Lonchura striata: one gene and its partner. Each later gene encodes a partner of the first gene's protein in a complex. Links are inferred from orthologs where the notes say so. Each region holds a gene or a part of one and is shown on either strand. Other genes may lie near its edges.

The links.
Region 2: the proteins of TOPBP1 (region 1) and PHF8 are in contact, whole or in part, in a crystal structure (PDB 7CMZ), measured with the Homo sapiens proteins. The link is inferred for Lonchura striata from reciprocal best matches to the Homo sapiens genes TOPBP1 and PHF8. Residues at the interface, in NP_008958.2 of Homo sapiens: Gln1298, Cys1299, Arg1314, Asn1315, Glu1316, Leu1319, Arg1369, Ser1406, Arg1407, Gly1410, Phe1411, Arg1413, Leu1414, Arg1465, Thr1466, Glu1467, Ala1470, Asp1471, Gln1475, Asn1483, Tyr1484; in NP_001171825.1 of Homo sapiens: Gly842, Ala843, Cys844, Phe845, Asp847, Ala848, Tyr850, Ile851, Tyr852, Pro853, Ser854, Leu855, Glu856.

Annotation. Positions count from the first base shown.
Region 1 is NC_134603.1:113,165,642-113,172,810, forward strand, and holds the start of TOPBP1 (DNA topoisomerase 2-binding protein 1), read left to right. Parts: upstream 1-4,160; 5' UTR 4,161-4,430; coding exon 4,431-4,511; intron 4,512-5,046; coding exon 5,047-5,181; intron 5,182-5,712; coding exon 5,713-5,856; intron 5,857-6,363; coding exon 6,364-6,545; intron 6,546-6,666; coding exon 6,667-6,860; intron 6,861-7,169. UniProt on the Homo sapiens protein: Scaffold protein that acts as a key protein-protein adapter in DNA replication and DNA repair. Composed of multiple BRCT domains, which specifically recognize and bind phosphorylated proteins, bringing proteins together into functional combinations.
Region 2 is NC_134638.1:798,310-805,800, reverse strand, and holds the start of PHF8 (histone lysine demethylase PHF8), read left to right. Parts: upstream 1-4,490; 5' UTR 4,491-5,329; coding exon 5,330-5,427; intron 5,428-6,200; coding exon 6,201-6,286; intron 6,287-6,618; coding exon 6,619-6,727; intron 6,728-7,471; coding exon 7,472-7,491. Other genes in the region: serine/threonine-protein kinase WNK3, read left to right, coding at 416-618, 1,075-1,286, 1,742-1,860, 2,426-2,551. UniProt on the Homo sapiens protein: Histone lysine demethylase with selectivity for the di- and monomethyl states that plays a key role cell cycle progression, rDNA transcription and brain development.

The DNA of each region.
Region 1 (7,169 bases):
AAAAAAATCACAGAACACATACTTACCAAAATTTGCATTTACTCACAGACTTGGGTATTTTAAAATACATGAAAAGAAGGTAGAAAATTACCTGACTGGGGTCCTGAGCTAGCAGGCTAACAGATTTTTTGAAGTGAACTAGAGGTTTTAAAGTTACACTGGTTACTTAGAAACATCTCTTGACTTTGTACATTACACAAGATACCTCACTCATTTAAACTTAGTCTCAGACATATTTTTTACTGGTCTGGTTGTGTATCTCTATAAATAATGCTAAGTTACTAAGGTCCATCATACAGCATGAAATGGAAAATTTTATATACTTAGAATGGACTCTGATATTTTATGGTATATTTTCTTTTGTGTATGGTTGAGTCCTAACCACTTAGATCTTTCTCACAATAGTTCTAAATGCTAGGGGCTAATACCTAGTGATTTTTGAGTTTGATACATCTGAAGAGTCTCTTTTACTCATCTGCTTTTTTATATGCTTCTCATGCTAAAAATATAATATTACTGAGCTATCATTTAAAAACTAATGTCCTATAGCTGATCAGAAAATAAGTGTGGTAACAGTATTTTAAAAATAAAGTATTTCACATGGAGCTTTAACCAGGTTGGATCAAATGTGAAGAATGACTCAAGACTGTTTTAGTTCTTTAGTGCAGTGATTTTGCTTGCCTTTTTTGTAATCTGCACAAGAGAAAGACTTTAAAAAAAAAAATGAATGCAGGCATAATGGCTATCAAACCACAGCAGTGGTGAAACAGATGTGAAAATTATTTCTGAACTGGATTGACACAGATATTTTTAGAGACAAGTGTATGTTATAAACATTTAAGTTAACAAAACATCTGAATAAGTAAAAATACTCCCTGTTCTACAGAGTCAAGGGCACAGACCATTTATCTTTTGTTTTAGAAACTGGTATCATTTGGGGGGCTATGACAATGGGGGGTTTTTTTGCCATTTAGGAGTCTTACAGAGAGCAAAATTCCATAATTAGTAAGACTGGTGGTTAAATACGACTGATTCTCCATAAAGCTCAGAACCTGTAAAACATCAGAACACATAGAAAACACGAAATAAATACTGGGCTACTCAGGTGCTTAAGAATGTACCACAAGCAGAGTATTAATTAATTTGGACCAATTTTTACTTCTAACAGTTATTATACTTCCCCTAAGACATATGGTATTGGACAGCTTTGGAGACAGCAAATTAAAAGTGACTATTTTGTTTGCTGTTACTATCCAAAAGGGGAATTTCTGTTTCCCAGCTTCTCTAGACAGCCTTTTAAATAATATTTTCAAAGAAGCAAATGTTTCAAGAAGTCTCAAAGAAATTTTACAGTGGAAAGTGCTTGTGAAAGCAGGAAGTACAATAGGGAAATCTTTACTTATCAAACCACTTGTTCTGTGTTATTTATTTTGTCATATTAAGCACCTCTTTGGAACTACATCCACATGGAAAGTGTAACAGAAGAATACCACTCCTCATTTTCAGCTGCATACTCTTCTTTAAGGCTCTGTGCATCAATTACTTTCTGGACGTTGTACATGCTTTTAAAATGTGTAAATATATCAGTGTAATGACAAATACACACCTTCTAGTCAGGCTTTTTTGTTTTTTTTTTTACTTACAGAATACATTTATAGAAAAATTTTATATTTTATTCTGCTCTTGATAAGAACTTTCGCTTGGTCTTGAAAACACTTTGCAGTTAGGAAACTACTTTCTCTGGAGGGCTTTGATGCCAGACACAGTAATGCCTCTTTGTCAACCTTTCAGGAGCAAAGCACAACAACCAAACGTGCATGGGCACACTGATAAGCTTTCTGAGAGGCATGTAAAAACTGCCCTGATTCTCCTACAACATGGACTTCTAATAATGGATTTTTCTAAGCAACAAGCAGCTTCTGGAGGAAAGAGGTGGAACTGAGGTTGATGGCCCAGTGGTTTGGCAGCTTATCAAGAGTTTCCACCACTTCACTGGAAAGGGATCACACTTCAGCACATGAAAACAAGTCATATTTCAGTGACAGCAATGAACCGTGATCCACATTCAAGCAGAAAATTGAAAACTCAGTATTTGGTTGCACTGCTGATACATTCAGTTAAGGACTCTGCCAATAACTGTAACAATAGTTTGTATTATACGATCCATTAAAGTTGGTTAACATTTTGTTAGACTTCTTGATCTTTTCCCACCTCCATCCCCTTATTTTTTACAACAGCCCAGAAGAATGAAAAAGGAAAATAAATTCCTCTTCGTAACACTGAAAGAACAGGCAGGACAAAATTGGGGTTTTACAAGTGGACCAAGAACCAGCATAATCAAATAACACAGCATCATCAAGATAAATCCACTTATAATTTAATAATAAATACGCTATTTTGGTTGTCATGACATTTGATTTTGTTTACATTTACCAATGGGAAAAGCAGTATCTCAGGCCATTCATACTGATCCTAGATGATTTATATTAGTGGTTTTAAAAATAAATAAGCGTATAAAGGAATTCCAGTGTATTTAGTGACCTAAGTATTAGGTCATCTAGATAAAATCTAACAATTGCAGCGGACTTGTGCACAGTTCTTCAGTTCTTAAGATCACAGTGCCACCCTGTGGTCTCACTGTAGAGTTTGATGCCAGCAAACATGCACTACTCCAGGCAGGCTTTTGGTGCTTTTCTCGTTCAAAACATATTCTAGGATGAATTTCTTCACACAAAGGGTGATTAGGCATTGGAATGGGCTTTCCAATGGGTGGTGTCACTGTCTTTGGAGGTGTTTAAGGAGAGACTGTATGTAGCTCTTGGTGTGGTACCACATCTGCCATCTGGTTGACAGGATGGTGTTGGGTCATGGAATGGACGCGATGATCTCAGAGGTCTTTTCTAACCTAATTAATAGTGTGATCTCTTTCCCTAAGAAAATCTCCTAATGGAATGACTCCCCCACTAGAGGCATTATCAGTATTACGCAAACAGCAGCAAGGCACTGTGGTCACTAAGAGTGGAATGAAGATCCATCGGATGTGTAGGCAGGGTCCCCCTGTCATCATGTAGGCAGATGCCAAGAATGTGGTTCCGGATTCCAGACCTTGCTCTGGAAGGAGAGCATTTGATGTTCTTGCCCACAGCTTGGACGCTACAACCTACAAGAATGAAAGTGAAGTGCAAGGTCCTACACCTGGGTCAGGGCAATGCCAGACACAGCTCCAGGTTGTGTGTAGAAGCGATGGAATGCAGCCCTGTGGAGAACAACCTGGGGGTGATGGTTGATGAAAAATGCAACTCACGCCACTCTTCTCCGGCCACAATTACCATTTCCCAACTATTTTTTGGTTTTCTCTCTTCTTAAATATATTACTATAGATACGTTATCGCCATTTCTAATTGGCCCAATCCACCTTTGGATCGTCCAGGGCTTGGCTCTGCTGGACATGGAGGAAGCTTCCAGAGGCTGCTCAAAGCAGCCACCCCGGCTACCCTGGTTTTTAACCAGGCTGTGCAAACCCAATGCAGAGCATCTGAAGGGGGCCTGCAGGGAAGCCAGAGGGGGACTCACAGTCAGGAACTGCCCTGATAGGAATAAGGAGTAATGTATATATAGGGCAAAAATTGAATAATATGGGGCACAAATTGAAAGAAGGGACAGACATTTAGGTCAGATATCAGGAAGAATTTTTTTCCTGTGACAGTGGTGAGGAGCGGGTTGCCCAAGAAGGTTGTAGATGCCCCATCCCTGGTAGTGGTCAATGCCAGGATAGGGTATAGCGTATTCAGCGGGGGCCATGCAGGGGAGGCTGGGGCCAGACGCCCGCTCAGCACCCTCCCAAGGCGTTATCCCTCGGTGATTCCCTAAGTTCCGCTCCCGTCTCCCCCAGCGGCCCCGCGCGCCCTCAGCGAGCCGCCCGCCCCGCCCGCTCCCCACGCGCGCGCCCAGCGCCCCCTGCGGGCGGAGCGCGGGCACGCCCCGCCCACATCCGCCCAGGCCCCGCCCCCTCTGCCCGCCCCGGCAGCGCTAGCGAATCAAAAACCCCGGCCCCGCCCCGCGCCTGCGCAGTGCCGGCAGCGCCGCTTTCCCGCGCGGGTGAGGGGCCGGGCCGGGTCCGTCGGGGCTGGGAGCGCCGCGCACCGGGAGCGCCGCGCACCCGCTGCCCGGCAGGGACCCGTCCGTGCGGGCCTTGGCCCTGTGGGGAACGGGCCTCCCGGTGGGGAACGGGCTTCCCGGTGGGGAGGGGGCTTCTCGGTTGGGGTCGGCCAGTCCCCGCCCCTCCGTGCGCGTTTGAAGCCGGTGCCGCCGAGGCCGGGCGGCGTGTGCTGGGCCCCTGGCCCGGCGCGGACAGCGCCAGGGGCGAGAGGGCTTCCGGGCTGCGGCGGGAATGTCAGCGCGCTCACTGGGTTTTGCTTCGTAGTTGAAGGATGAGAAGTAGTAAGGACCCGTTTTTTGTGAAGTTCATAAAGTCTGCCGGGAGCTCGGAGTATTTTTCTAAAGCTCTTGAGGTAAGTGGGTTTGGTGACCTGGGTGAACTTGGTGAACTGGAGTGTGATTTCTGTGTCGGAGTTCGGCTGTATATGCCATACAATAAACTAACTTACGTCTGTACTCCTGGAAATAAATCTCTTTCTATAGCAGGGGTGTTAGTGTGTAGTAAAGCTTGTTGAACAAGAACAGTTTTGTTGGAGAGCCTCATGAAGTAGCTTCAGTTTCAAAACCTGGTGACATATAGGGAAGGGACATGTAAGGCCTGGATGGTGGTCGCTCATCTGAGCACTCTGCATTGTTTTACACCTTAGGAGGTTAGTGGGAGCCAAAGGCACCATATGGCAGGATCAGGTCCTGAAGGCTTCTTTGCGAAATATTTAAGTTAGAATATTGTGAAGAGGTGTTTTAGCCCTTCTGCCAATACCTGTTTGCATAGTAGCTTTGTTGTGAGCTGTTGCAAGGACGTGCACTTGTGTAGTTTGCACAGGATTGCTTCTTTATTAATTATTTGCTAATTAAATAAATGTTGTTGTACACATCATTTACCTGCAGGCTATAAAAGAATTCCAGTCAGAAGAACATCTCCAGATCCTTGAAGAAGAAACAGTACTCAATATAAAAGAAAATGATAAGTCACTTTACATTTGTGATCCTTTCAGTGGCATGGGTTTCAGTCATCTCAAAAAGGTATGGCATCCAGCAACTTACTTTGAGCTCTGTTCTTTCCTTTTTAGAAGCACTCATGTCCATATTTATATCCTGCATGTTCTCTTCTGCACTGCGTGTAGCAGTGTATGATTATTATTTATTATTAATCATTATGCAAAGCATAATGATTATTTTTAAACATTTGGAAAAGTAAATGGCATGTTCTCTGCTGGAGTCCCTGAGCTCCTGATAAAGTTGATTTGGTTTCATCTGCAAGGTATTGTCTAATGGACACAGGCTAGCTGGAGTCCTTTGGCCTTAGCCATAGCATCAGCTGTTTTTACTGAGTCAGAAAATCTACAAGGATTGTACAGAAAAACCAGAACTGAAAGTAAAACCAGAACTGAAAGTAAAACCAGAACTGTCAGCTACCTGGAGGTTGTAGAGAAGAAGGCGGAGGACAGACCAAGAGCCCTGCCTTCTTCAGAATTCAGGGACAAGAAAAGCCTTCCTGATGCAAATGAACACCCTGCTTATTTTCTTTGTGCTTTCCCTGTTATTTTATTGCAGCTTGGCTGTAGGATTGTTGGACCACAGGTAGTTCTGTACTGCATGCAGTCGCAGCGCTGTGTCCCAAGAGCTGAGTATCCCGTGTACAACATGACCATGGCTGATGTCACAGTGTCCTGTACCAGCCTGGAGAAGGACGTGAGGGTAAGGCCTTCCCAAGGATGGATTGTTTAGCTGGTTATCATTGATACTTGCTTTGCATTGTTCATTAGTAAGGCAGCAGTCAGAGCATATATGTCTCATTGTGCCTGTGTCTAGATCCATCAAGTCTTCTGTACCTTGTGGACTATGTGTGGTCTATTAATGTATTAATACACCTCAAATATGATTATATATGTTTACTTTATATTTATTCTGATATTTTTTTCTAGTACTTCCTGAAATGGTAACCATCTGCAAAGTTTTGCTCATAGACCACAATTGTCATGTTTTTATTTAGGGTATATATTTAGGGTATATATTATGTTCATCATAAGTGCAAATAAAATGGAAATTACAGTTTCCTTTTTATGGCTTCCATATATATCTAGTTGGTATTTTTAGGGGAAATCGTGGACAATTGAAATCCATGTTTTTGGTGCAAAGTGAACATGACTGCCACATAGGTTCTTTTTTCTCCTGTCTGTTTTCTCTGTTTTTTTCCCCATCCAGGAAGAAGTTCATAAATATGTGCAAATGATGGGTGGATGTGTATACAGAGATCTCAACATGTCAGTAACTCATCTTATAGCTGGAGAAGTTGGCAGCAAGAAATACTTGGTAGCTGCTTCCCTGAAGAAACCTATTTTGCTTCCCTCTTGGGTTAAGACATTGTGGGATAAATCTCAGCAAGGGTATGAAAAAAACAAAACTGATTTTGTTTTGGATAATGGTAATTCTTATGTACAGACTAATTTCTTTTTCATAGTTGATTTTACTTGCAAAATGACTGTTTTCTCTCATTCATTCCTGTAGCATGGTGAGGTACACTGATGTTAACGTGGAAGACTACGTCTGTCCTGTGTTCCTTGGCTGCACAATTTGTGTCACTGGCTTAAGCAGCTCCGACAGGAAAGAAGTGCAGCGCCTCACTACTGAGCATGGTGGGCAGTACACGGGCCAGCTGAAGATGAATGAATGCACTCACCTCATAGTTCAAGAGCCAAAAGGTAAAACTGACAGAATTAATGCTGTTTTCACGTCTGGAGTTGAAGTAGTGTGAAGGTGTGTAAGCACAGGAGCTTGAACTGCCTCTGTGTCTGCTTCAGTGTTGCTCTTACTGCTTCTCTGTTGATGGAAAGAGTAACACAGGGCACCTTTGTTTTGGTGTAAAGTCATGAGAAAGAACAAAAGAGGAAAAAAAGCCAGATAGATAGATGGCATTCAAAGAAAGGAAAAGGGAGAATCCTAGAGGGGATAAAGAAAATAATTTTTTTGGGGAGAGCAGGATAGGACTTAATTTGTACTGTGATTGAAAT
Region 2 (7,491 bases), on another chromosome or scaffold:
AAAGGGCCACAAGAACCCTAAAACTGCCACATGGACACCCCCAAAACTGCCCCAGAGACCTCAGAACTACCCCAAGAGACTCCAGAGTTATCCCAGGGACCCCCAAACCACCCCAGAGACCCCCCAAATTTGCCCCAGGGATCCCCCCTAAACTGGCCAAAGGAATCCCCAAACTGCCCCAGGGACCCCAGAACTATCTCAGAAACCCCCAAACTGCCCTGGGGACTCCCCAGACTGTTCCAAAGGACCTCCAAACTGCCCCAGGGACCCCCCAAACTGCCTCGGAGATCCCCAAAACTACCCCAGAGACCCCCAAATCTGTCCCAGGGACTCCCAAAACTGCCCCAGGGATCCCAAATCTCCCCCTCTTCACCCCCATCTCCTGTCACCCCTCTCTCCCCCTGTCCCTCCCTAGCCACCTCCTGAGCCCGCCGACCCCGAGGGCGACTGGGGGGGTCCCAGCTCAGGCAGTGAGAGTGGGGGGCTGGGGGGACCCCCACACCCCCCCGGGGCCCCCCTGCTCCCCCCGGGGTCCCCCGAGACCCCCCTGAGCAGCGACGGGGACTCGGAGCCCGAGGACGAGGCGCTGCGGGAGCAGCTGCGGCGGCTGCGGGAAAAGTGAGTGAGGGGCTTTGGGGGGATTTGGGGGGTCCTGAGGAGGTTTTGGGGGTCCCAAGGTGGCTTGGAGAGGTTTAGGGACACCCCCTGACCCCACCTGAGCTTATCCAGGAGGTGCTGGAGCTGTGAGTGTGGCAGGACTGGGACCCCGGTGGACCCCTCCAAGCACGTCCAGGAGGTCCCAGGAGCTGCCAGTGCAGCCCCCCGAGAGAGTTTGGGGGCCCAGGGGAGATTTTGGGGGTCTTGGGGACGTTTTGGGGGTCCTGGGAGGGTTTTGGGAGTCCCAGGAGGGGTTTGGGGACGTCCCCCAAGCACGTCCAGGAGGTCCCAGGAGCTGCCAGTGCAGCCCCCTGAGAGAGTTTGGGGGCCCAGGGGAGATTTTGGGGGTCTTGGGGACGTTTTGGGGGCCCTGGGAGGGTTTTGGGGACCCCCGTGACCCCCCCCTGGTTCCCCCAGGCACATCCAGGAGGTTCTGGAGCTGCGGGCGCGGCAGGACCGGGAGCTGCGGGAGCTGCACCGGCGGCTCCGGGCCCTCAAAGAGGCCCGGGGGGACCCCCCGAAATGGGGAGGGGGCGGTGGGACCCCCCCCCAGCGCGGCCACGGGGGGTCCCCGAGGCGGCCTCGGGGGGCCCGGGCACGAGGGAGGGGCCGGGGAGTGGCCCTGACAGGTTTGGGGGGAAAAGAGGGGATTTTGGGGGGAAAAGAGGGGATTTGGGGGGACAAAGAGTGGATTTTGGGGTGGGGGAAGGAGGTTGGGGTAAAAAGAGGAGGTTTTGGTGTGCAGGGGGAGGGGGTTTTGGGGTATGAAAGGTTTGGGGTGTTGGGAGGTTGAGGCTAAGAGGGGTTTGGGGTGCAAAGGAGATGCTGGGGAGCAAGGAGGGGATTTTGGGGTGCAGGGGGAGGTTTTGGGGTACAAAGAGGGGATTTTGTGCATGAAGGGGGAGGTTTAGGGGTAAAAAGGGGAATTTTTAGAGGGATTTTGGGATTTTGAGGGTGCGCAGTTTGGGGTAAAAAGAGGTTTTGCCGTGCAGGGAGGGGTTTTGGGGTGCAGGGGGAGGTTTTTGGGTGCAGGTGGGCCCTGGGGCGCTCCCCTGTTTTCCAAACTCCCCTCCCTCACCCACAGAAGCCTCAGCTCCCTCCCCGGGCCCCCCGATCCCCCCGGCCCCCCCAAAAAAGGGGCTCTTCACCGACGACCTGCACCGGCTGGTGGACGAGTGGGTCCAGGACACGGCCAGGGCCCAGGTGGGGGGCTGGGGGGGACTTTTGGGGGGGTCTGGGATGCCTGCACCCCTTTTTTGGGGGATTAGAAGGGTCCTGTATCCCATTTTTAGGGGTCGGGAGGGCTTTTTGGGAGTCTGGGGGGATTTTTTGGGGGGTCTGAGATGGTTATTGGGGGGCTGCATCCCATTTTTGAGGTGCTCAGGGGATTTTGGGGGTCTACAGGGGCCATGCACCCCATTTTTGGGAGTCTCGGGGCGGGTGGGAAAGCTGTGAGGGTTTTTTGGGGAGGGGTTGAGATTGCTTTTAGGGAGCTGAACCCCCTTTTTGGGGGTATGAGGGGATCTATTGGGGGGGGCTGCACCCCATTTTGGGGAGCTTCACCCCATTTTTGGGGGGCTGGGGGCATCTTGGGGGGCTGGCATGGCTTGAGGGGGACCCTGAACTTCCTTTTTTGGTGTCTGGGGGATCCCCACAGTCGTTTTTGGAGGGTTTGGGGGCTTGGGGGTGCACTTCACCCCCTTTTTGGGGGTCTGGGGGGGATCCCCAAAACCTGAACACCACTTTTTTTGCCCCCCACTCCCTCCAGGCCACCTCCTCCTGGGTCTCCACCCTGCGCGGCACTCGTGGGACCCCCCGAAAATGGGGGGAGCTGCCCCCCCCAAAACCTGCCCTGCGTGGGGGGGGCAGCCCCCTCCCCCCGGGGGCAGAGTGAGGGGGGCCCCAGACCCTGACCCCTCCAACACCCAGATTTTGGGTCAAACTTCCAATTTTCAGCCCCGAAATTGCTTTGTTTCACCCCAAAACCCCCTTGTTTTACCCCCCTCCCCGCATTTGGTGACCCCAAATTTCCAGCCCTAAAATGACCTCGTTTCACCTCAAACTTCCCCTTATTTTGGGTCCTGTGCTGTGACCCCTATTTCTGGCCCCAAAATTGCCTTATTTTGCCCTAAAATTTCCCCTTTTTTGCTGCCCATGTGGGCTGAACCCACTTTTTGGCCTCAATTCACCCCCAAAATCCCCTTTTTAGGATACTCAAGCGCCCCGAACCCCTATTTCTGGCCCCAAAATTGCCTTATTTTGCCCTAAAATTTCCCCTTTTTTGCTGCCCATGTGGGCTGAACCCACTTTTTGGCCTCAATTCACCCCCAAAATCCCCTTTTTAGGATACTCAAGCGCCCCGAACCCCAATTTCTGGCCCCAAAACCACCTCATTTTGACCCCAAATCCCCCCTTTTTGGCCCCAAAATCTCTCTATTGTATCCCAACCCCACCTTTTTTTGGGTCATTCCCCCTTTGCAAGGTGACCGCACTTCCTGGTGCCCCAAATCCCCTTGTTTCACTCCAAAACTCCCCTTTTTTGTGCCCTGCCCACCCCAGTTTTCTGCCCTAAATCCCTCATTCTACCCCAAAATCCCCTTTTTTGGGCCTTTCCCTCTCTGCATGAGGTGTCCCCATTTTTTAGCCCCCAAATCACCTCATTTCACCCCAAAAAATCTCGTTTTTTGTGGCCTTTCCACTAATCTTTTTCACCTCCCCAAATGTGATGCCACTTGTTGGCCCCAAAATTGCCTTGTTTCACCCCAAAACCCCTTTTTTGGGCCTATCTCCCCTTTTTTTACCCCTCCCACAACATTACCCCTGGTTTTGCTCCCCAAATCGCATAATTTCATCCAAAAAAGTCTCTTTTAGGGCCTGCCCTTCCCCCACAGGGTATCATCGCTATTTTCATCCCCAAAATCTCCTCATTTCACACAAAAATCCCTTTTTTTGGGCCTTGTCACTCTTCTTTCCCCACATGAAGCAACCCAAATTTTTAGCCCCTAAATGGCCTTGTTTTGCCCTAAAACTCAAACAGTTGAACCCCAACCTTTCATTTATCTAAAAATTCTTTTTTTTTCCTCTCAAAACACTCCAGAGCCCCCAAAATTCTCATTTTTCACCCAAAGCCCCTCACAGGCCTGGAATTTCTCCCAATGTGACCACAGCGGAGGCAGGTGGGCTGTACTGGGTTTACTGGTGACCCACCCCGCCCATACTGGTCATACTGGTGCAACAACCCCCTCTCATTCCTGTACCCCTCCCTCAGCCCATTTTTGGGTCATTTTGTCGTGTTTTCCTCTCATCTACCTCACCCCTTCACCAAGCCAGCGAGGTTTCGGGGTGAATTCTCGAGTGTTCTGGTTCGAGAGGGTGGGGAAGGCGTTTGTTTTGTGGGGAAATTGTTAAAAAGCGCGGGAAAAAAAAAAAAATCCTAAAATGTGAGAAATAAAAGCGTGGCTGGTGCGCGCCACTCCCAACATGGCGGCCGGACCGCGACACTCGAGCTGGCGAAGGCGGCGCCGCGCCCAAGATGGCGGCCCCGCCCCCCGCCCACCCAATGGGGGCGCCCTCGCCCTTCCCAAGATGGCGGCGCGACGCGGCCAAAATGGCGGCCGGGCCCCGCCCTCTCCCTCCCCGTTTCCGCGTTTGAATAAAACTTTCCCGGGCGGCCCGGAGCGCGCAGAGGCCGCGGCGGCGGCGGCAGCACCGGGCCCGGGGCCGGCAGCGGCGGTAGCGACCGGGCGGCGGCGGAGGAGCGGCCGCGAGAAGCGCTGGGCCTTGCCGGGGCGGGCTGCGGCCTAGTCGGGAGGTGGCGGTGGGGGGGGGGCGCAGGCCTCGCGGCGGCCCGCAGGCCTCGGGGGGTCCCGTCGGCTTTGTGGGGGTGTCGGCGGCTATTTGGGGATCCCCAAAGCTTTTAGGGGGGTCCCGCGGGTCTTTGAGGGGGTCTCGGGGACTCCACAGCGCGGGAGGAGGGGGAGGCCGGGGCCCCGCGGGCGCTGTGAGGGGACCCCGGGCCCGGCGGCGCTTTTGGGGGTCCCCACACGCAATAGGAGTAGGGGGCACCCTGCGGGCGCATTTTTGGGGGGCTCTGGGCCTCGGGGAGGGGGTCACAGTGCCTCGGTGACCCTTGGAGGGGTCTCCCTACATCTGTGTAATTTTGGGGGAGGTCTCAGGCTCTCATCAATACCTGAGGGGGATCCCAATCTCCGCAGGCCCTTTTGGGGTGCCCCCGACCCATATTGGTTTTTTTAGGGGTTGTGCTCCCCAATTCCCCTCAGGGCCCTCCGCTGGCCGCGATCTGGGGGGGCTTTGGGGGTGTTTATAGGGGAGCAGCCTAGGGGTTGATTTTGGGTTTTTTTTTTTTTTTTTTTTAGTTTTTTCTTTTTGAGGGAGTTGTTTCAGGCGTGTTTTTGGGGCGCTTTTCGAGGCTGTTCTTGTGGTTTTGCTGAGGTTGTTCTGGGGGGATTCTGAGGCTGGTTTTGGGTTTTTTTAGGCTGTTTTGGAGATCTTTTTGAGGCTGCCTTTGGAGTGATTTTGAGGGTGTTTTTTGGTTTATTTATTTTTTTTTTTGAGGGGATTTTCGGGGGTCTGGCGGGCAGCGCGCGGATGTCCCGGGCCGGGGGGGGTCGCGGGGGTCCGTAGGGTCGGGGGTCGCCCCGGGGGCCCGGCCATGGCCTCGGTGCCCGTGTACTGCCTGTGCCGCCTGCCCTACGACGTGACCCGCTTCATGATCGAGTGCGATGGCTGCCAGGACTGGTTCCACGGCAGGTGGGACTGGGAGCACTGGGGGGGACTGGGACTGGGGGTACTGGGAGGCATCCAGAGGGTGCTGGAGGGGACTGGGAGGCACTGGGGGGGGGGGACTAGGAGACGTCTGGGAGGGACTAGGGGTACTGGGAGGCACTGGGAAAGACTGGGACAAGTCTGGGAGGTACTGGGAGGCATCTGGAGGGTGCTGGAGGGGACTGGGAGGCATCTGGAGGGTGCTGGAGGGGACTGGGAGGCACTGGGGGGAACTGGGAGAAGACTCGGAGGCACTGTGGGGAGACTGGGAGACGTCTGGGAAGGACTGGGGGTACTGGGATGCACTGGGAAGGACTGGGACAAGTCTGGGAGGTACTGGGAGGCATCTGGAGGGTGCTGGAGGGGACTGGGAGACACTGGGAAGGACTGGGAGAAGGCTGGGAGGGACTGGGGGTACTGGGAAGGACTGGGACAAGTCTGGGAGGTATCTGGAGGGTGCTGGAGGTGACTGGGAGAAGTTCAGGGGTACTGGAAGGGATTTGAGAGGCAACTGGGAAGGATTGGGAGAAGCCTGGGTGGTACTAGAGGGCACTGGGAGAAGTCTGGGGGGGTCTTCAGAATACTGGGAGGGACTGGGAGGTACAAAGAGAGTTCTGGGGTGTGATGGGGGGTTACTGGGGAGGTGCCTGGTGGTCACTGGGAGGCATTGGGGGTTACTGGGGAGGTGCCTGGTGGTCACTGGGAGGCATTGGGGGTTACTGGGGAGGTGCCTGGTGGTTACTGGGGTGTCCCCACAGCTGCGTGGGGGTGGAGGAGGAGGCGGCGGCGGAGATCGACCTGTACCACTGCCCCCAGTGCGCTGTGCTCAGGGGGCCTTCCGTCAGTGAGTGGGACTGGGAGGACTGGGAGGGACTGGGGTGGGGGGACAGAGGCTCTCTGTCAGTGGCTGGCACTGGGAGGGACTGGGATGCACTGGGATGGGGGCGGGGGAGATGCTCTGGGCTCTGTGTGGATCCCTCCCTGTTCCTCTGTCCCTGCTTCCCTGTGTGTCCCCACCCGTGTCCCCGTGTGTCCTCACTCTGTTCTTTTGTCCTTGTGTGTCCCCACCTGTGTCTTTCTGTCCTTGTCCTGTCCTTCTGTCCCCACTGTCTCCACCGTGTCCCTGTGTGTCCCCACCGTGTCCCCCTGTCCCCACCGTGTCCCCCTGTCCCGCAGTGAAGCGGCGCCGTGGCCCGGCCAAGGCCCCGGAGCAGGACCCCGGCCGTCCGGCCCGCACGGGCAGTGCCCAGTTCATCCGGGAGCTGCGGGGCCGCACCTTCCCCAGGTGAGGGTAGTGCCAGGTGTGGGGCAGTGCCAGGTGTGGGTCAATGTGGCTGTACCCCTTGCACAGGTGAGGGTCAATGCCAGTGAGGGTCAGCCCTGGGTGCTGTTGGTCAGTCCAGGGGGAGTTGGTTGGTCACTCTTGGGGGTCTCACCCCCCTGCTCTGCCCCCCAGCACGGACCAGGTTCTGCTGTGGCCCAACAAATGCTGAGGGGTTGGGGGTCCCTTTAGGAACTGGGGTTCCCTGTGAGGGTCTGGGGTCACTCTTGGGGGTCTCACCCCCCTGCTCTGCCCCCCAGCACGGACCAGGTTCTGCTGTGGCCCAACAAATGCTCAGGGGTCGGGTGATCCCTGTGGGGTTGAGGGGGTCCCTGTAGGAACTGGGGTTCCCTGTGAGGGTCTGGGGTCACTCTTGGGGGTCTCACCCCCCTTCTCTGCCCCCCAGCATGGACCAGGTTCTGCTGTGGCCCTGCAAATGTTCAGGGGTTGGGGGTCCCTTTAGGAACTGGGGTCCCCCGTGGGGGTCTGGGGTCACTCTTGGGGGTCTCACCCCCCTGCTCTGCCCCCCAGCACGGACCAGGTTCTGCTGTGGCCCAACAAATGCTGAGGGGTTGGGTGATCCCTGTGGGGGTTGAGGGGGTCCCTGTAGGAACTGGGGGTCCCTGTGGGGGTTGAGGGGGTCCCTGTAGGAACTGGGGGTCCCTGAGGGGGTCCCTGGGGGTCTCACCCCCCTGCCCTGCCCCCCAGTGCTGACGAGGTGCTGCTGC